3 linked regions of the Macaca mulatta genome follow. The protein of the gene in region 2 interacts with the protein of the main gene of each other region in a pairwise test. Links are inferred from orthologs where the notes say so. Each region holds a gene or a part of one and is shown on either strand. Other genes may lie near its edges. The genes, in order: ZNF774, LDOC1 and UTP14A.

What was found.
Region 1: the proteins of LDOC1 (region 2) and ZNF774 interact in binary tests that used the Homo sapiens proteins (3 or more experiments, as listed by UniProt). The two-hybrid records come from large-scale screens. The link is inferred for Macaca mulatta from reciprocal best matches to the Homo sapiens genes LDOC1 and ZNF774.
Region 3: the proteins of LDOC1 (region 2) and UTP14A interact in binary tests that used the Homo sapiens proteins (3 or more experiments, as listed by UniProt). The two-hybrid records come from large-scale screens. The link is inferred for Macaca mulatta from reciprocal best matches to the Homo sapiens genes LDOC1 and UTP14A.

Annotation. Positions count from the first base shown.
Region 1 is NC_133412.1:80,235,203-80,242,915, reverse strand, and holds the start of ZNF774 (zinc finger protein 774), read right to left. Parts: upstream 4,335-7,713; 5' UTR 4,155-4,334; intron 1,887-4,154; 5' UTR 1,868-1,886; coding exon 1,764-1,867; intron 1-1,763.
Region 2 is NC_133426.1:147,687,779-147,694,563, forward strand, and holds LDOC1 (protein LDOC1), read left to right. Parts: upstream 1-3,066; 5' UTR 3,067-3,160; coding exon 3,161-3,601; 3' UTR 3,602-4,416; downstream 4,417-6,785. UniProt on the Homo sapiens protein: May have an important role in the development and/or progression of some cancers.
Region 3 is NC_133426.1:136,361,493-136,369,105, reverse strand, and holds part of UTP14A (U3 small nucleolar RNA-associated protein 14 homolog A), read right to left. Parts: intron 6,806-7,613; coding exon 6,730-6,805; intron 5,035-6,729; coding exon 4,964-5,034; intron 4,430-4,963; coding exon 4,365-4,429; intron 2,401-4,364; coding exon 2,258-2,400; intron 1,658-2,257; coding exon 1,502-1,657; intron 1-1,501. UniProt on the Homo sapiens protein: May be required for ribosome biogenesis.

The sequences.
Region 1 (7,713 bases), on a different chromosome or scaffold from region 2:
AAGTAGCTCAGGCAATTGCTATTTTTATAGGTTAAAAAAAGGTCAGATATATGGTTCAATCTAATGTTTGACTTCAACAACAAAATAATATTGTATTCCATAAAACAAAACACTAGGTGGTTATTTTAAGTGATGTAAAGAAAGATATTTATTGTTGTCAAAATATATTCATGATACAACATGGAAGAAAGAATGTGCAGCTGAATGTACAGTATAATCCCAATATTATCCTTTTGTGCTTGTTTTAAAATCATATACATGCTTAGAAAAATGCTGGTAGGATAGTAACTCTTCAGTGGTGGGATTAGGGATGACGTTTGTTTTCATTTTGATTGTCTTTTGCTTTAATGAGTATACATTACTTGTATAATAGATGAAGTAGGCCAGGTGCAGTGGCTCACGCATCTAATCCCAGCACTTTGGGAGGCCAAGGCCAGTGGATCACTTGAGGTCAGGAGTTCAAGACCCGCCTGGCCAACATGGTGAAACCTCAACTCTACTAAAAATACAAAAATTAGAGTGCGGTGGCTCTCTCCTGTAATCCCAGCACTTTGGGAGGCCGAAGTGAGCGGATCGCTTGAGGTCAGGAGTTTGAGACCAACCTGGCCCACATGGAGATAACCCATCTCTACTAAAAATACAAAAAAATTATCCAGGAATCGCTTGAACCCAGGAGGCAGAGGTTGCAGTGAGCCGAGATCGCACCACAACACTACAGCCTGGGTGACAGAGTGAGACTCTGCCACAAAAAAAAAAAAAAGTAAAGCAGAAGGAAGGGTAGCCAGGATATTTGGGAAAGAGCAATTGGAGGTATTTTGTTTGTTTGTTTGTTTGTTTGAGACAGAGTCTTGCTCTATTGCCTAGGCTGGAGTGCAATGGTACGGTCTCGGCTGACTGCAACCTCCGCCTCCCAGGTTCAAGCGATTCTCCTGCTCAGTCTCCAGAGTAACTGGGATTACAGGCGCCTGCTACCACACGCAGCTGATTTTTATATTTTTAGTAGAGATGGGGTTTCATCATGTTGGCCAGGCTGGTCTTGAACTCCTGACCTTGTGATCCACCCACCTCGGCCTATCAAAGTGCTGGGATTACAGGCGTGAGCCACTGCACCCAGCCTGTTTTTAAGTGACAGAAAAAATTACCTCCTTTTCCACAAAGACCTCAGAAGTCTCAAAAGTTAAGTGGCAGAGGTGAGAGTTCAACCCAGGCTGGAAAAGGGGGACAGTAATACATATATCAAAAAGTTATGATGAGATATTAAAAAGACAATAAATAGCAAAGATATTTACAAACCATAAAATGCATAAAGACGTAATTCTTTTTCTGCCAAGGAGGCAACAATGAATCTTACAGAGGTCTGGAGCTCTAAGGCACCAACACACCAGAGACTACTCAGACCTGGGCCCTTTATCTAAGTTTCAAATTAAAGGAGAGTAGTGGCCAGGCATGGTGGCACCCATAATCCCAGCACTTTGGAAGGTGGAAGCAGTGGATTGCTTGAGCTCAGGAGTTTGAGACCAGCCTGGCCAACATAGCAAAATCCTGTCTCTACTAAAAACACCAAAAACTAGCTGGGCATGGTGGCACATGCCTGTGATCCCAGCTACTCAGGAGGTTGAGGTGGGAGAATTGCTTGAGCCCAGGAGGCAAGGGTTGCAGTGAATCGAGATCACGCCACTGCACTCCAGCCTGGATGACAGAGCGAGACCCCATCTCAAAAAAACAAGATAAATAAATAAAATAAAGGAGAGTAGCATTCTTACCCTTTGATAGCCCATTCTTCTAACTGTGCTGGGTGGCATTCCTGAAGAGGATTCTCTAAGCAGTGTCCAGGTAACCCACTCTTCCCTGAAGTCCTCAGCCACATTATCAAGGGTCATCAGTTCCTAAAGCAAGAGACCTCGATATGCATCAGTAGCTCCCTAGGTATTCTCACCATTGTCTGAAAGCCAAAAAATGGCCATCAGTGTACACAAACAACCCCCCACACCTGATCAGAATGGTCCTGAGGTAAATTCTGTCAACCACAGAGGGTTGCTTTTCTTAGTCTGTTTTTACATACATCTTCTCCTGGCCAACTTTCCCATTACTAAGAGAGGCCTAGGCCTCCCAAACACATGGACAGAACCCAGTCTTTTAGATACATTAACTTTTTGAGGAAAAAATTGTCCACGATGAACAAGGTAAACAAAGGAGAGAGTTGGTAGGTACAATTTGATTTCTGGAAAGCTTTTGATTCTCCCCAACTTCATTTTCCTCAGCAACCAAGGAAATTGTGGACTTAACTATACTCATATTAGTTATGAGAACAGCTGACTTCTTGGCTTGCAGATTTGGGGTCAACCTCAAGGGACAGATTATGCAGAACCCCAAAGAGAACTGTGTTGGATACCACTCTATTTCAAGATCTTAATGGAGTCAGAAATAAGACTGAAAAAGACATGTTTTTTTTTTTTTAAAAAAAGACATGGATAGGTTGTAAAAATAAGTGAAAGTCAATGGGGATAAGCACAAAACACAACTCTTAGAGGCTGAAACCAATCATTAATATATTAATAAATTGACAGCAATATCATGAAAAACATTACTTTTTGGAGGATAGTCAGAGTCAACTACTGGATGGATCAGTAATTTATTCAACAATCAATATGTTGCCAGGCATAGGAGTCACAAAGAAATTAAGATAATGTTTTTTCCCTTAAAAACTTTCCAATACACCAGCCTCAGCAACATATTGAGACCCCTTTCTCTACAAAGAACTTTTAAAAATCAGCCAGGCATGGTGGCATGCACTTGTGGTCCCAGCTACTCAGGAGGCTGAGGTGGGAGGATCACTTCAGCCCAGGAGTTCAAGGCTGCAGTGAGCTATGATGGCGCCACTGCACTCCATGCACTCCAGCCTAGCAACAGAGTGAGCCCCTGTCTCTCCCTTAAAAAAAAAAAAAAAAAATTCAGCCAGCATGACCACCCACTACAAAGAATATTGCATTTCACGGGAGGAAGGACCAGACTAGGGTGAAGAAGTTTTACTCTTTCACATCTTTTGTCCCACTACAAAGCACCTATTTACTACTGGAACACAGATACAGACACAGACACACACACACACACACACACACACACACTTTTGGGGAAAATATTTATGTATTTACAGACATTATTATTGGTCATTTATAAAGTATTGAGTTTTTAAGGATCTAAAAACCATTGCTCTGGTTTAAAACTTTAACAAACAACAATAATGTAATTAGAAAGTAAAAATGGTAATAACAGTTTTCAGTATTGGTCGGGCGCTGTGGCTCATGACTGTAATCCCAGCACTTTGGGAGAACGAGATGGGCAGATCACCTGGGGTCAGGAGTTCGAGATCAACCTGGCCAACATGGTGAAACCCTGTCTCTACTAAGAATACAAAATTAGCCGGGTGTGGTGGCGCACACCTGTAATCCCAACTACTCGGGAGGCTGCGGCAGGAGAATCGCTTGAACCCGGGAGGCAGAGACTACAGTGAAGGGAGATAGCACCGTTGCATTCCAGCCTGGGCAACAAGAGCGAAATCCCCTCTAAAAAAAAAAAAAAAAAAAAGTAGAAGAAGAAAAAGGAAAAAAAAAAAAGAGCTTTTAGTATAATTTTTATTTCTACATTCATTACAAAACACAGCTGCAGGGCCCCCTTGCTGGAGACTTCTTAGCCACGGTTATAGAAACCCTGTTTCCCAGCCCGTCCCTTTCCCCATGCGCAGATGACCTCAAAGGCCCTACAGCTCTGAGGGGCTGTGACTAAGTGCCATTGTGAGAATCTCCAGTGCGTTCACCGGGTTTATTAATAGGAACATGACTGCACGCGTGGGGCTGAACCCCGTTCTTCTTCTCGGTGCTGGGGCCCTAACCAGGGTGCGGCGGTCAGAGGGTGGCAGATCAGCTGAAACCCGGGGACCACCATCGAGAAGCAAGAAAACTCATTAAGAGAATGACTTATCTCGACGACGGTATAGAGACCACAGCTACCTCTCCCACACCCCAGCAAGACCCGGGGGCTCCCAAAGGCCAGCGTGGGAACCCCTCTGAGAAAACGTCTGGGTGGCGGGCGAGCCCCCTCCACGCCTCTCAGCAGCGCGCCGCTGCCGCCGCAGTCTCCCTCCTTGGATCACTCACCGCCCCAGGGCCCAGCTGGGGATGGAGCAGGAAGTGAGTCCTCCACCGCCGAGCCGCACCCGGCCCGCAACCCCGAGGCGGTCCCTCCCAGAACCCGACCGGGATTCGTGACAGGGCTGTGGGGACACAGGTGGGACTCAGGCTTCGACAGCTCGCAGCCGGAAAGTACCGCCCCTGTCCTCTTGCTATTGGCTTTTTAGTTTCCATGGCTAGAATGTTTCTCTGTCCATAGGCTGACAGAGCTATCAATTACCGCCTAGCCTTCTGGGAAACGTAGTCCCGAGCAAGACCTCAAAGGACTCGGAGCCTTGGATATCCAGTTCCAAGCGTTGAAAAGTGCTAAACCCAATTCCCCAGCTACCGGCCCCCAGGAACCGCCTGTTTGGAGCCTAGGGATCTAAATGCCGTACCCTCAGTGTGGCATCTGCTGATGTGAATCTCCTGGCCTCACCCACCTACCGCGGAGCAGCCTGGTGCCCAACGTGAGGTCTCCCGCGCTCTGGCACCTCGCCCCTCCCCAGCGCAGAGCAGCTCAGCCCTCTGGCCTTTGCAGCCTCTCTTCTGCCCAGTCTTCCACCTCACACCCGGCGGCCGGAGCCTGCAGAGTGTTTGCGGAGGCCGGGTCCCAGACCAACTCAAACTGGACATAAGGAAGGCCCAGCAGACGCCCTTAGGAGAAAACAGACATTCCGTATCCTTCCCTTGGCATCAAACTCCCAGGCGCATCCCCTTTCCGTCTGGTTGATAGCCAGAGGAGGCGGGCGAGGGCATCAAGTATTCTGGGAAATGTGATATTGGGCTTCAAACTGGGGAGGCTCCTGGGTCTCATGTGAAAGCCAGTGGTCACTTTGGGTCGGCCCCTAGCTAAAAAATAATGTCTTTCCTTAAAGTGAAGAAAATGTGCCTGTCTACTCCGTTTGTTGATTCAGTGTAATTTAGAAAAAGAAAGACCATTTTGTGATGTACTATAAAACGCTTAGAATTGCTAGCCATAGAGTTAATGTTGAAGATCCCTTTGATGCTAATTCCACCATTCCTTCAACAAAAATAGGGTGCATTTTCCAGTGGATATTTATTGGGAACATTCTATACTCAAGATCGTTCTGGGAACTGTGGTTACTCGGGAATCATACATAACCATTACCTTCATGAAGTTTACAGGCCAAAAGGGGAGATAAACCATAAAAGGTATCAAAATCCTAAGTAGGCCGGGCGCGGTGGCTCAAGCCTGTAATCCCAGCACTTTGGGAGGCCGAGACGGGCGGATCACGAGGTCAGGAGTTCGAGATCATCCTGGCTAACACGGTGAAACCCCGTCTCTACAAAAAAATACAAAAAACTAGCCGGGCGAGGTGGCGGGCGCCTGTAGTCCCGGCTACTCGGGAGGCTGAGGCAGGAGAATGGCGTAAAAACCCGGGAGGCAGAGCTTGCAGTGAGCTGAGATCCGGCCACTGCACTCCAGCCTGGGCGACACAGTGAGACTCCGTCTCAAAAAAAAAAAAAAAAAATCCTAAGTAATATTTTGTCTTTTTTTTTTTCATATAGCCAGTTGCATCTTAGTTATTTTGCTACAATTGTAGTCATCTGCAAGATAACTACATTGCATTTTCAGAAACTCTGTCGACTGTGAACAAATACCTGGTTAGCAGAGGTAGTTAGATGTAGTTAGATTTAGTCAGATGAAAATGAGGAAAATGGAAATCCCAGAGGAGCTCAGTAACAAAGGAATGCCCAGGAAACCTAGGGATTGCCAGGCCTTCTGTAACTGACAGAGTTCAGGACCTGGAGAACTGAAGGCATCTTCAGGCCCCTCGGTAAGTCTTTCTAGCATTTTGCCATCAGGGAGATCATGAAGATTACTCTTCAATCTGGGACTGGAGTGGGGAGATGAATGAAGAGTCACAGAATCTGGCTGGTGGCTATCCCTGTCACTCTCTCCAGCTTCTGTTCCTTCTGCCTTACCTTGTTCTCTCAGCGGTTTGTTCACAATGATCAGGTGTGTGGGGAGTGATGGAAAGGAAGTTTGGTCTCATGACAAGAGCAGTCAGTGCAGGAAACCAATCGTGTACCCGCAATGGCCACCTGAAGAGAGGATCATGACCTGTTGGGGGTTGGGTGCTAAAGGGCGTGGCTGAGAGGAGGCATAGAGGAGCGAGGAAAAACTGTGAAAGGACTTCAAGGAGCATGAAAACAGAGAAAGACTTCAGCAGTTAATAGAACTGAATTTATTTTGTTTTATTTATTTTATTTTATTTTTTGAGACTGAGTCTTGCCCTGTTGCCCAGGCTGGAGTACAGTGGCGCGACTGCAGCTCACTGCAACCTCCGCCTCCTGGGTTCAAGCAATTCTCCTGCCTCAGCCTCCCAAGTAGCTAGGATTACAGGCGTGCACCACCACGCCGGCTAATTTTTTATATCTTTAGTAGAGACCGGTTTTCACCATGTTGGCAAAGCTGGTCTCGAACTCCTGACCTCAGGTGATCCGCCTGCCTCGGCCTCCCAAAGTGCTGCGGTTACAGGCGTGAGCCATCGCACCCGGCCAGAACTGATTTTTTTTTAAAGAGAGAGTCTATCATCTGTTGCTGTGTAACAAATTACCCCCAAATTTATTGGTTGAAAAACCAAATATTTGGTTTTGTGCTCCCAGCTGTTCGGAAAAGCCGCCAGTATTTCTCCACCTGGCTTTCCTCTACCACCAGGCAGGAGCACCTGAGGTCCCCCTCCCACCCCACATTCCGCCCGCCCGCACACTCGGACCACCGCTGTTGATATTTCTGCCCCTATTCTGAGCACACATCAGCGGAGGGAGCGGGACGCGGCCTGCGGTCAGCGGCGAAGAAGGCAGGCCCTGCGCGGGAATCTCGGAAGCCATGTGATTCATCATGAAGTTCCAGTACAAGGAGGACCATCCCTTTGAGTAGCGGAAAAGGGAAGCAGAAAATATCCGGAAGAAATATCCGGACAGGGTACCTGTGATTGTAGAGAAGGCTCCAAAAGCCAGGGTGCCTGATCTGGACAAGAGGAAGTACCTAGTGCCCTCCGACCTTACCAATGGCCAGTTCTACTTCTTAATCCGGAAGAGAATCCACCTGAGACCTGAGGACGCCTTATTCTTCTTTGTCAACAACACAGTCCCTCCCACTAGTGCTACCGTGGGCCAACTGTATGAGGACAGTCATGAGGAAGATGATTTTCTGTATGTGGCCTACAGTAATGAGAGTGTCTATGGGAAATGAATGGTTGGAAGCCCAGCAGATGGAAGCATCTGGACTTGGGGGTAGGGGAGGGGTGTATGCGCGACTTGGGGAAAGAGAGGGCGGCTCCCACCGCGAGGAGACAGAAGGTGAAGACATCTAGAAACTACACCGCATACACCGTCATCACATTTTCACATGCTCAATTGATATTTTTTGCTGCTTCCTCAGCTCAGGGAGAAAGCTTATCAGGACGGAGCTGTTGCATTGGCTTTGATAGAGGAATGGGGATGATGTAATTTTACGGCATTCCTGAGATTTAATTTTTGTGCAATTTCATAGAAGGGTCAGGAGGTGGACAAGTTG
Region 2 (6,785 bases):
CTAAAAATATAAAATTAGCCGGGCATGGTAGTGCATGCCTGTAATCCCAGCTACTCGGGAGGCTGAAGCAGGAACATCACTTGAACCCAGGAGGCGGAGGTTACAGTGAGTCGAGATCGCGCCACTGCACTGCAGCCTGGGCAACAAGAGCTAAACTCCATCTGAAAAAAAAAAAAAAAAGAAGAAAGAAAGAAAAAAAGTGTGCTCCTAGGAGTGGAACCCTGAGTACTCTTCCTGTATTAGGGCCTGGATATGAAAGGTGGAGCTGGCCACTACCTCTGTCCCAGTCAGGCCCATCCTGTACTCTGAACTATAAATTTGGCAGGAGGATCAGAGACCTACTTTCCACATTTCCCATCCCTCCCCTCAATCCTTACACTGAACATTTATGGAACAACTAGTAAACACTGCCAGGTGCTGAAGATAAAATTAAGAGTGAGAGTGGATCCCTGCCTGCCAACTTCTCAGGTGGCGGAGCTGATAGCACAGGAGAGGCCAAAAGCTCACATTCTTCCTATCTCTTTTTTTCACTGCCCATCCTTTCACCAGTGTCATCTTCCCCAGGTCCCTGCTTGGGTCTTGGCCCTATTTCTCGGCTCTTTCCCAGTCTCCTACTCCCATGGATGATCATTCAATTCTATCCTAAAGGATTGAATTGAACTTCTTTAAAAATCTATTCAGCCAGTTTTATTACATCAGTCATTGTTTCACAATCGAGACTGATTCATGGTCAGAGATAAAATACACTGAACAATTTTTTTTTTTTTTCTGTTTCTCTTTTTTCTTTTTTCTGAGACGTTGTTTTGCTCTTGCTGCCCAGGCTGGAGTGCAATAGTGTGATCTCGGCTCACTGCAACCTCTGCCTCCTGGGTTCAAGTGATTTTCCTGCCTCAGTCTCCCAAGTAGCTGGGATTACAGGCACCTGCCACCACACCTGGCTAATTTTGTATTTTTTGGAAAGACGGGGTTTCTCCATGTTGGTCAGCCTGGTCTCGAACTCCTGACCTCAGGTGATCTGCCCCCCCCCCCGCCCTCGGCCTCCCAAAGTGCTGGGATTACAGGCATGAGCCACCATGCCCAACCTTACACTTAACAATTTAAAGAGTATTATTTAACACTTTGTGCAGCCACAACTTCTAATTTTTATCTCAGCATCTGCACTCTGAGATTATATTACACGCCAAACATTAATGAAGCCTCTACTCTGGGCCAGAACTTATCTAGACATTAGGGATAGACCAGATAGCAAAAGCAGTGTTTCTTTGACTTATATATTCTAAAATGGAAGCAGATGATGAGCAAAGTCCTATATATACATACGACATGGTGGCTAGTAGCACAATAAATGTTATGTAGATAAATGAAGCAGAGTAAAGGGTTACAGATTGGTGGCAGAGAACAGGGTGCTCTGATAGGTCCAGTGGTCAGAAAAGTTCTCTCTGAAAGCAGTAGGAGGAGTCAGGCAGCCAACTGGGATGACATCCTTGCAAAGGAGAAGGGATAGAAGGTGCAAAGGCTATGAAGCCAGAACTGCTTGATGGGTGTGAGAATCAGCAAGGAAGACAGTGATGAGAGCACAGCAGAAAATGGGAAGAGGCACAGGATAGAAGGAGGGGCCTTGTAGGCCTTGGCTGCAACTTTGCTCTTTATTCTGAGGTGAAACTACTGGAGGATTTTGAGCAGGGGCGTGAAGGGATCTAACTGTTTTTTGTTTGTTTGTTTGTTTGTTTTTGTTTTTTTTTTTAGAGATGGAGTCTCGCTTGGTAACCAAGGCTGGAGGAGTGCGCTGGCGCTATCTCGGCTCACTGCCACCTCCGCCTCCCGGGTTCAAGCGATTCTCCTGCCTTAGCCTCCTGAGTAGCTGGAACTACAGGCACCTGCCACCACGCCCCGCTAATATTTTGTATTTTTAGTAGAGACAGGGTTTCACCCTGTTAGCCAGGATGATCTCGATCTCCTGACTCGTGATCCGCCCTCCTTGGCCACCCAAAGTGCTAGGATTACAGGAGTGAGCCACCGCGCCCGATTCCTGTGGCTACTCTATGGAGAATATACTATAGGAAGAAAAGAGTGAAAGCTAAGTGATTAGTTGCAGCAGTCTGGGTGAGAAAGGCTGGGGATCAGGGTGGCAGTGGTAGAAATGACAAGTCATGACTGAATTGGCAATATATTTGAAAGCAGAGCCAACAATTCCTGTCGGCTCTAGGGATCCGTTTAAAGTAGAAAAACAAAATTATTTAAAAACACAAACATCTTAACAGTTCATTTTTAAGTACAGAATAAAACCCAGTGGCCAAAGGCACTAATAGCAGGACAAGAAATAGAGAATCAAAGATATGTGGGATGCCTGCAATTGATTATTGGATGCTGATTTTGCAAAACTTCTTTATATCCTGCTACTTAGGTTTGTTTTTTTTTGTTTGTTTGTTTTAAGGGAGTATGCCATATTATTCCCCTACTAAAGAAGTCACTGTTTAAATACTGCCTTTTTCATGAAAGGCAGGAACCCCTGAAGGTCTTCATGATCCTAAAAGGAAGTGTGAGTCCCACAGTGCAGCCAGCAGTGTCAATACTTCTCTGAGTGAGATTTAAACAAGAAAGAAAATGTGTTAATAAAACATCACGCCAAGAGAATCTAGTGGCCACAGACCCACGAAGGAACAACTGAGTTGTGAGAGTTGCCTAGGTAGAAGGGTGGCTAATCCTTTCAGTTTGAACAAATTTGCCTTCTCTGAGACCAAACTCAGCGCTCGCCAGGTCCTCTGCTAACGCAGGCCCCACAACCAGGAGCTAGGGGAGCCTACCCCAGCCTTTAACTGCCCGCCTAGAGACCTACCACAAGCCGGTGGTTCAGCGACCCAATGCATCCTTTTCCTGGCCACGCCCTCTTTGTCTAAACCCTTCCCATCCCGGCCACGCCCCCACGCAGCCGCGGCCGCCAGTCTGGCCACGCCCCTCCCGCGCCGCGCCGGCGCACCATCCGTCCGAATGGCCTCGTGGGCGGAGCTTGCGTAGCCTCCCGGACCCCGGCGCGCACCGCCCCCCGCCCCCAGCCCCTGGCCATCGAGCGTCTCCGTGGACACGCACTTCCTGCGAGGCCTCCGTGCGCACCTTGGCCGAGCCGAACCGAGCCGAGCCCTGTCCTTCCAGGCTGTTCGCAATGGTGGATGAGCTGGTGCTGCTGCTGCACGCGCTCCTGATGCGGCACCGCGCCCTGACCATCGAGAACAGCCAGCTCATGGAACAGCTGCGGCTGCTGGTGTGCGAGAGGGCCAGCCTGCTGCGCCAGGTACGTCCGCCGAGCTGCCCGGTGCCCTTCCCCGAAACGTTTAATGGCGAGAGCTCCCGGCTCCCTGAGTTTATCGTGCAGACAGCGTCTTACATGCTCGTGAACGAGAACCGATTCTGCAACGACGCCATGAAGGTGGCATTCCTAATCAGTCTCCTCACCGGGGAAGCCGAGGAGTGGGTGGTGCCCTACATCGAGATGGATAGCCCCATCCTAGGTGATTACCGAGCCTTCCTCGATGAGATGAAACAGTGCTTTGGCTGGGATGACGACGAAGACGACGACGACGAGGACGAAGAGGATAATTACTAGGCCCTCGGGCCTCGGGGGGAGGGCCCTGCACGCCGTCACCCCCTCCCCGCAGCCCTCACCCCGCCAGGAGCCAGTGCTCTCCCCCTTGCCCTCCGGTCCCCTTCCCTACCCGCGCCCGTCTGCTCTTTCTTCATTTCTCCGTAGTGCTTGTCTTTGTTCCAGGAATAGTGCTCCAGTTACCTGCTGCTGGGGTTGGGGCTGGAGCCTCACTCACTCGGAAGTGCTTGGAAGTGTCATCTACCCTGGCCATCCCGGGGATCCCTCCCCTGCTAATCTGAACTGTGTCCTGAACCCCAGCTATTGGCCAGGCCCCTGTTACAAACTGCGCAGACCACCCATAGCCCTGCTGCTGCCACCTGCCCTGCTGCCAGGCTTACATCTGCCCAGAGAACTATGCTGCCACTTCACATCCACTCACCACATCCCACCTACAGACTACCGCCTTTCGAGATCAGGACCAACCTGGAAAATGCCAGAGTTGGCTCTGCCTCTTCGGACATTGATTTGGACAGCTCACCAACCCCTGAAGAGGCCAGTCATTCAGCCTGGTTAGTTTTCTACCTACTCCGAGTGTCCTCCCCTGCCATACCAGATTGCTGCAGGGGCGCGGTGTGCCTGACAGCCAAATTGTTGATATTTCTTTTTTCCTATGCACTGGTTTTACACAGCTGTCATTTTTCTTTCAAAATTGCAGCAGTCCCACAGATGTATGCATTTGGACAAATAGTACTAAAAACAAAACAAACAAGCACTCAGCCCAGCTCCTCAATACTACCTGGAAAAAGCATTGGCATTATTTTCAATAAATATCAAGCACTAAAAAACGAAATGATTGTCTTTTAATAGTTAAGTGCTATCACTGACCTCTAGAACTGTCACTGTGACTACCGTTATTCCCATGGAAATCAGGGAATACAACCAATCCTAGGAATCCCTGCTGTCAACTCCAGGCTGCTGGGGACAGCTACCTCAGGGCTTTGTCAGGGTTCTGATGCTTCCTTCACCAACGCATTTCTTAAAGCCCTGGCAAAGGGTGTGTTCTCTGGGTCCTCCAGGGTGGCATGGGTAAGGGTTGGCTGAGCAGATGGCAAAGAGGGCAGTATTAATAATTAGACCGTAACAACAGGCATAAACCAGGACATATATATGTATTGCTCCTAATTCTCTGAGCTTTTGGATTCCTTAATATTGTGCCAGGGAAGTTCTGCCCCTTAATCCTTATTGCCTATATGCAGCTGTTGAGTTCAGGCTCCAGAGAGCCAACATAGTACATTGTCACTTTCAAACTCCAAATAGCCAACATGTCACTTACAGGTGCTCTAGCTAACATTAAGTCCCAGATCCTGGGCAAGTGCATCCATAAAGATATACCCTGATCTTAACAAACATTTCATCCTCCTTGGGCAGACATCCTTAGAATTTCCACTCATAGATGTGTCCCAGATTCCTCCCTATGGAAATTAGCAAGATGCTTGGTTATCTCTTAAATCAGACTTTGTACTGCTATCTGGGGGCTATGCTGAGATCTCTGGGCCTGGAGGGTTCAGAGCAGTGAAGGGGGTGGCTGCTGAGAAGAAACTGCATACCTGTGTGAGGCCATTGCCCCGGGTTAAGTCATTGAAATGTTTAATGCAGAGCAGCTTGGTTGGGGATTTGAGAGGACTACCTCTTAGAAAGGTTTAGGAGGATGTGAGGGGTTCAGAGTTCTCATTTATATCTGTCCAGATGTCCTCCCTCATTGTACCATGTCTGGAGCCAACTTCACTTTATAACCTTTAATTAATTTAGATAACACATTTCCTTACTGTTTAAGGCCTTTTGAGGCAAGATATTTCATTTGTACTGGTAAACCTCAGTGTTGATTAAATGAGATATGGGGCTTCATATTAATCACCTGATAGGTGTGGATTATATGAGATCATACCCATGCAGCATTTAGAACTTTCCCTGCTACATGGTGAGCACTCAGTAAACCATGGGCTGTTACTCCTGGGCCTGGGGACAGAATTCTCAGGAAGCAAGTCTCTGGCTCTGAGCGTGGCTTTAGTAGGAAAATGTCAGCGTAAAGAGGAGCAGAGCAGGTTCAGCGATAATGGAAATGAGAGCATGATAAGACCCCATTTACTTTTTGAAGTCTTATATGAAGCAAGAAACAAAGCTGTTTACGTGGTGAACAGGCAAAGTTCAGGGTAGGAATTATATCTCACACCTAGGATAGCTGTTTCTGGAGGGTGGGGACAGGGGTGAGTATGACTTAATAAAAGAGGCCAAGGCTTGGGTGGAAATGAGATCTGGGGCTCTTCGGGAAGCTGCTGCCTCCAAATCTGAATCAAGGAGACACCTGGTTATTTAGAATTCACTGATCACTTCTCCCAGTCTCCTTGGAAAATATACAAAAACCCTTGGAATACAGAGAGTTTATATTTGAGACATAATATGTGTGAGGCCAGATAATTACACTTTCTTCCTGACTAGAAAGGCCTTGAATTGGGGATAAATGGGGAAAAGTGAGCAAGATCTAAAAGGTAAAGGATCCAGTGAGACTAAAAATCATTTATTCCAAACTGATTATGGCCCAGTTATGCTGAGTGGAGTTATATCATTGAATAAAATGTCATCTCTGCCTTCATAGTTAGTCCAGTCTGCTACTTTTACTGTGCCTTGGGCCAGAACTTCGATGATTAGTTACAGGAAAGGGCCAGGAAGAGAATCTGGGCTGTGATTAGATCTAGGAATGACCTTTCTGGGGTGGAAGTTGAGGACATATGAGTATGTGTTCTGTGGAGGAAGGGAGGGTCAGTAAGGATGCCATGCCGAGGCAGCATCTGAATGGCATCTGGGAGAACTAGGCCAAGGAGCTTCTGTGATCTGAAATGTACATTTCCTGAGTATGTGTGCATGTGCACATGAGCTTGCTGTGACCCTGTATGTGTGTGCTGTGTGTGTGTGTGTGTATGTGTTAGGTGATGTCCTTCATGCATCATGGACGAACAGGTTATGCTGTGAGATGCACAAAAGGAAAGTGTGAGATTCTGGTTACTCTGGGGACAGATTCTGCAATAAAAGTGCAGATATTGGCAAGGGCTCCATCACCCAGGGAGGAATTCCTGATAATGGCATAAAGCATTGCAAAAAAGAAGGAAGAAGTAGAAGTATGTCTAAGGATGGAAGTGCCACTTCTATC
Region 3 (7,613 bases), about 11 Mb from region 2:
ATTACCTCTGATTTTTTTTTTTTCTAAAGTCTCCCTTCATCCTGCAGCCACACTTTAAACCTGATCTCTTTTTCATGTAGAAAAGGAAGCCTCCTAGAAAGAGAATGGTAGTGACTTCAGCAAAAACATCAGAAACAGCTTATCCCCATAATAAGCAACTACTCGCTCAATTTCTAGCTATTGTGGCAAGCAATGTTTACTTTGATTAGCTTTAATTAGCTCAACTTCCCAACACCTAAGAAACTACTATTCTTGGGTTTTTGGAAAGTAAAGAGGAGAAGCACAAAGAGGGCATCTATTTAAGATTAATCAGCCCATTATAGACTATAGACTCCATACCAATGGTGTATTGGAAAAGTAGGCTAGCTGTTCTAAAGCAGCTATTCAGACTAAAAACCGAGACTTTAGGGACCAACATAGGATTTCCAACTTCTAATTTTGCCAAGAGCATAACTACCATTTCATCCCCAATCCCATCATTTACTACCACCATCATTTCATAGAAGAAAAGACATTTCAACACCACTAAAATAGAAAGAATAACCTCATAATAAAAAAGAACTGGCAACATTACACCCACCAAACAAACATACTTACAATTATCCTTTTGTTTTAGACAAAAACTTTGTTAGGGGTTAGTGTTTGGGAAACCCAGCTCTAAACCCCTGCCCTGCAGCTCAGAGTCATAATAAGTCACCTGCTGAAGTTCTAGTCATTGCCAGCAACACATATTTTAATGTGGTATTCATTCCTGTACAAGCAAACTTTGGCTTCTGTTGTTCACATATCCTCACTAAGGCATCATTAATACTACCGAGTTCCTGATTTCCCTAGGATCAGAATGTGGCTTTAAATGCTTTTAAAAAACTGGAGTAAAAGAAAGAAAACATTATTATGTTCCCGCTATAAGGGCAATCACATGGTTTAACACAAAAACATGGAAATAGCCAAGTACTGTATACTACAAGCAGATGAAAAGTGACACAGAGACTGGGCGCGTTGGCTCATCATTCCTGTAATCACAAAACTTTTGGGAGACTGAGGTGGGCGGGTCATTTGAGGTCAGGAGTTTGAGATCAGCCTGGCCAACATGGCGAAACCCTGTATCTACTAAAAATCCCCCAAAAAATTTAGCTGGGTGTGTTGGTGCGTGCCAGTAATCCTAGCTACTTGGGAGGCTAAGGCAGGAGAATCGCTTGAACCTAGGAGGCGGAGGTTGCAGTGAGCTGAGATCGTGCCACCGCACTCCAGCCTGGGTGACGGAGCGAGACCCTGTCTCAAGAAAAAAAAAAAAAGTGATCACAGAGCTATTGTGACTGACATGTCAGTCACATGACTGACAATGACTATGGGCAATCCCTTCCTTCTGAGCACTAAGCTAAAATGACTTATGCTGGGGTTTAGCTTAACATGTCCAATCAAATCAATTGCAGGCTCTGAAATCTCCAACTTATAAAATCTCACCTTTCAATGAAGTTCAGTTTCATTTTGTTGTACTCACCTTCCAGCCACTGAGCACATGTTCAATGGGAGCAATGGCTGGCTCCTCCTTCTCCAGTGGAAAAACCAGCTGCTCTGCCTGCCGGTTCTTCAGGACGACAGGGTCCCATTTGGAGAGGACTTTTGCGGTTTTATTGAATGCTACTTCTCTGTGGATCTGAAGCAGACAAAGTATGTAAAAGGAAAGAGCCACAAGATTAAAGCATCAAACCCAAAGGACTAACAAGAAATTAGGAAACAACGTTTCTTAGCCCACGAAAGAATCAGGATGCTAGAGGTTACTGCTTGCTTCTCAGGACTGCAATTTCTCCTAGATTATTATTATTTAGATGGAGTTTCACTTGTGTCGCCCAGGCCGGAGAGCAATGGTACGATCTCGGCTCACTGCAACCTCTACCTCCTGGTTCAAGCGATTCCCCTGCCTCAGCCTCCCAAGTAGCTGGGATTACAGGCGTGTGCCACCACACCAGGCTCATTTTGCATTTTTAGTAGAGACGGGGTTTCACCATGCTGGCCAGGCTGATCTCGAACTCTTGACCTCAGGTGATCCGCCTGCCTCGGCTTCCCAAAGTGCTGGGATTACAGACGTGAGCCACTGCGCCTGGCACTCCTAGATTATTTTTAATCTTATCCATAGTGGGGAAATCACAGCTCCCCCTTCTCCCATTTTTCAGGTCTTTCCCTTCTTTCTATTACCCTATTTTCCCTTGTCAACACAATTTCTTTCCCTTAATAGACCACCTTCTGTATAGCTTACCCGTTCAATCTCTTCTTTGTTCAGAGGTAACTCCACTGTCTTCTTTGATTTGACTCTATTCAGTTGCTTTTTCACAGTGGCCAAAGAAGATGAAGTTTTAACAGGCTCAAGCAGATCTGCAAGGACCAGCTTTTCTCCTGATCCTGTAGAAAGGTCAAACTTTCTAGTCAGACCAAGAAGTGAGGCAAGATCTCAATATAATGTAGGCAGAAGCCTCAGTAGAAAATGCCAGTAGATGGCAAATGTGCAGAGAAGCAGGAATAATTCTCTTACTTCAATTGCCTATTTCTAGCCAGGCCAACACTATCACTCTACATTTATCCCCAAACGTGTTAGGGGGTAGAAGATAGGGGAAAATGTTTATTCAAAACTCATTTTCTTTTCTCCTGGTGCTTCTACTCTTGCCCTATTGCAATTCATTCTTCACATAACAGCCAAAAATAAAAACAACCAAAGTGGTATTTCTTTTGTTTGTTTTCTTTTGAGACAGGGTTTCACTCTGTCACTTAGGCTGGAGAGCAGTGATGCCATCTCTGCCTCCCAGGCTCAGGCAATCCTCCCACTTCAGCCTCCCAAGTAGCTGGCACTATAGGCATGTGCCACCACGCATGGCTAATTTTTTGCATCTTTTTTTGTAGAGATAGGGTTGTGCCATGTTGCCCAGGCCAGCCTCAAACTGCTGGGCTGAAGCAGTCTGCCCACCTCGGCCTCCCAAAATGCTGGGGATTACAGGTGTAAACCACTGCACCCAGCCCAAAATGATCTTTTGAAAATATAAACCACAGCATGTCATGACGCTGCTGAAAATCCTCCAGTGACTCCCCATTATACTTTGAATCTCATCTACCTAAACGACACGGTCCTATGAGATCTAATCCCCATCTGCCTCTCTAACCTCATGTCACCCCCCACCCTCCACCATGCTCTTGTCACAGGGTCCTCTTTCCCATTCTTCAACATGCTGTGCATGTTTCTACCTTAGAGCCTTTGTGCTAGCTGTTCCCTGGCCTGAAATACTTTCCCTAATCTTTGCATGGTTCACTTGACTTGTCATTCAGATCTCAGCTTCAATTTTGCCTCTTCAGGGGCCTTTCATGACCAACCAATCTAAAGTAGCCACTTAGTCGCTTTATTGCATCATCCTCTCTTATTGTCTCCCTTTATTAGAAAGTAAGCCCCAGGAGCTCACATCTTATTCGCTACTGTGGCCTTGGTATCTACAACACTTCCTGATACTGCTACCTAGTAGAAACACAATAAATATCCGCTGAATGAGTATGCTTGGAATACATTGTTATTTGCCCTAGGAGGCTACACCAGTGATTACTACGAATGCAAAACCCATTCTAGCTGCCTAAGTTGTGAACAGGGTGAAAAAGATTTGGCATCTAGACTCAGTATTAGGATAAAATCCCACGGCTGCCACTTATTAGAGCATGTATTCTGAACAGGGGCAATTTTTACCACCCCCCCCACCCCAGGGTGAAAATTGGTTCTTTCTGGAGGAGTATGAAAAGAATCTTAGATATTACAATGTTTTGTGTCCCTCCAAGGCTCAACTCTGTCCAACAAACTCTTATTCCTTAGGACTTGATTTCCTGGGGAAGGGGCATAGTGGGAGGGATACAATGAGGAAAAAATGTCTTAAAAGGCTCCTCTCAGGGGAGCAGTAAAAAAGCAAAGGTTGAAAAACACTGTACTAGGCAAAGGCCCTTGAACAAGTAACTTGACTTCTCTGAGCTCTGGCTGAAGAGAACATTTGCCTGTCTCCTAACTCAAAGCATTGTTAAGAGAACTGAAATTAAAATGAAATTGTACAAATATGAATTATGACTAAGTTACTAAGAGGCAGCTGTCTTCATTCATGTCCCTCTATCCTAGAAGTATCTCATCAAACTCGGTAGCATACCTTGACCACAGCCTTCTAGGCTTTGAGAGATGGAAGAAACTGAAGGGCATCTGACTACACTTCTTCACCCACTCTCCCAGGTATTTATGGTATGAGTCATTAACCACATCAAAAACAGTTCCTGGGAGGTGAGGTGAACACTATGCCCTTGGAACCCCACAAGTTTCATGCATGGGTATCTTCTTTTGTTCAACTTACCTTCAGAACTGACATTGAACTCTGACACCTTCAGACTAGCCTCAGACCTCTCAGCCAATTTCCGCCTGAAATTAGGCAAAACGATATAATAGGAATGGATAAATTTTATGGGGGCTTAGGGGTGGGAGAGACAAACACTTCTCTCTTCATACAGGGCTTTGGTTTCTTGTATTTCTTCTAGGGTCAGGTTTTGTCATGATGCAGCAAGGAGATCTGTTCCTAACTTGGACTTGGTTATCTAACCCTCATCTCTTCTCTTTATTACAAGGTAAGCATAGTGGAAAACATATTGGACTTAGATTAAACACACCTGAACCTATAACATATTAGCCAGCTGACCTTGGGGGTAAGTCAATTTACTTCTCTAATGGGGTTAAGTAATGCCTACTCAATGCTTTAAAAGATTTTCATTGTGGAATAAGACTGCAAATGCTTACAGTAATAGCACTAAGACTAGTAATAGCTAACAATTACATAATGCTTACTATATGCTAGGCACTGGTATTAAGGTCTTTACATGAAGCACTCAATAAATATTAGCTGCAGAGAAATCTCATGGAATCAACTATATAACCTGCCGTAACTGACAGGAACGTTACCTATTCTTTCCATCAAGGGAACTGATTGCTTCCAGAAGCTTTTGATGCTCTCTCTCTCCATCATTGTCCCCCTAAGACACAGAAAAGGAAAAACCATCACGATGAGGGGGAGGGAAAAGACAACATGGAAATTGAGTCTCACATAAAATCTCTTGCTCTTTATTTATTTATTTATGAGACAGAGTCTCGCTCTGTGGTCCAGGCTGGAGTGCAGTGACATGATCTCAGCTCATTGCAAGCTCCACCACCGGGTTCATGCCAATCTCTTGCCTCAGCCTCCTGAGTAGCTGGGACCACAGGCGCCCGCCACTACACCTGGCTAATTTTTTGTATTTTTAGTAGAGATGGGGTTTCACTGTGTTAGCCAGGATGGTCTCGATCTCCTGACCTTGTGATTTGCCTGCCTTGGCCTCCCAAAGTGTTGAGATTACAGGCGTGAGCCACCACGCCCGGCCAAATCTCTTGTTCTTTTGGTCAGTAGAGAACTGGGGAATTGGAAGAGGTCTGGTGTGCAAGCATTCCAGCTCAAACTAAAAGGGAGCTAATGTCATGTGTCTGTCCTAACTTGCTTCTAGACAAAAAGGGCTTAAAATGGTGTTTCTGTATAAAATATATAGTATGATCTAACATGGAAACCCTGACATATAGTGTAAGTCATAGCCAGTTACAAAGTTAGCTTTTTTTTCTTTGAGACAGAGTCTCGCTCTGTTGCCCAGGAAGGAGTGCAGTGGTGTGATCTCAGCTCACTGCAACCTCCACCTCCTGGAAGTGATTCTCTTGCCCCAGCCACTGGAATAGCTAGGATTACAGGCGAGTGCCACCACACCCAACTAATTTTTGTATTTTTAGTAAAGACGGGGTTTCACCATGTTGGCCAGACTGGTCTTGAACTCCTGGCCTCCAGTCATCCACCCGCCTTGGCCTCCCAAAGTGCTGGGATTACAGGTGTGAGTCACCACACCCGGCCTCCAAGTTAAGTTGGCTTTTCCTACGAAGAACACGACAAGCAGAAAAAAATAGACAAAAAAAAACACCCTCCTTGTTATTAAAATAGATGTGTTGTGTGCCCCCAACCCAAGGGAAAAAAAAAGTGTTTTTTTGTAAGGGAAATAAAGAATTGGAATTCTTATAGCATCTGTTGGAGATCCAGCTTAAAATACATATGCATATTTCAGTCAGATAATTAAATAACGCTCTATAGAAATCCAAACTTGGGAAATCATATCATATGAGGACCATGTGTTTCAGTCTTTTTTTTTTTTTTTTTTTTTTTTTTGAGACGGAGTCTTGCTCTATTGCCCAGACTGGAGTGCAGTGGCGTGATCTTGGCTTACTGCAACCTCCACCTCCTGGGTTCAATAGTAGCTGGGATTATAGGCACACACCACCACACCCAGCTAATTTTTGTATTTTTAGTAGACACAGGGTTTTGCCGTGTTGGCCAGGCTGGTCTTGAACTCCTGACCTCAGGTTATCTCCCTGCCTTGGCCTCCCAAAGTGCTGGGATTACAGGCGTGAGCCACCAGCCGGGCCTGTTTTGGTTGGTTTTATAAATTATACTTATGCAACTTGCGGGTAGTGAGTGTAACTTAGTTTCCAAATCCTTATAGCACTTAATATGATACAGTAACTTATATATGAAACACTAACCATTTGTAATTAATTTGAGAGACCTGAACAAATACATAGAATATTGTCACACCTTTCCATTCCAGGAATGTGCTCTCTACCCTAATTTTGAAGGCAGTTTAGCAATTGTCACCCACCTCATCTTCACTCCCACTCAAGAGGTAGTCTTTTGGCAAATCTACTAGTTCTTCCTGTTGGCTCAAAGCCAGAAGGCTGTTAAAAGAGGCAACAAAGAAATGTGAATGCAATATACCCATGTAACAAACCTGTATATGTATCCCTTAATTATAATAAAAGTTGAAATTTAATAGAGAAACATTGTTATTTGAAGCAATGTCTAATCTATTAAAACAATCTCGTAAACATTGTAACTTCAACACAGAATAGCCCTATCCCTCAGAAGATATATAAAGCAGCATGAACGCCTTTGAAAACTTGTCAAGACGTGAAATTTAGACTGATGTCAGGCATCACCTCCAGGAATGATGCCTGACTCAAAACTGCATGTAAAAGAGCTAACACTTTTCAGTGATTGGCACAACATTTCCTATGACCTATGGGAAGCTGTAAAAATGTCAGACCCTAGAATAATATGGCCAAAGACGCTGTTGCTAGCCCTGGAGGCAAGGCAGTTTCACGATTAATATTTCTAAGCATCCTCCACATGTTTGACTCTTTGATAGGCAGCCTGATCAAAAGTGTCATCTTGATCACTTGTTCCCAGGAATGGAGAAACAGGTCGAAAGCAGCTGAGTAAGCCATTTTCCCTGGGGCCTGCTTAGCAAAGTAGGTGCTTAACTAAGGAGACTGGTACCCACAAATTACAAAATTTACCGTTACTTAACAGCATATATTATTAGTATTTGCAAAGCCAACATTCCTAAACGGACTACATTTAGTTCCGGGGGCGGGGAGGGGAGGCACAAAACATCATAGGAGCCAAAACGTGGCGATGACTCCAGTCAGCAAAGCTTTCGAAGATTCGGGGAGTTTATAACGCCTGCACTGCCTGCGCAGAGGA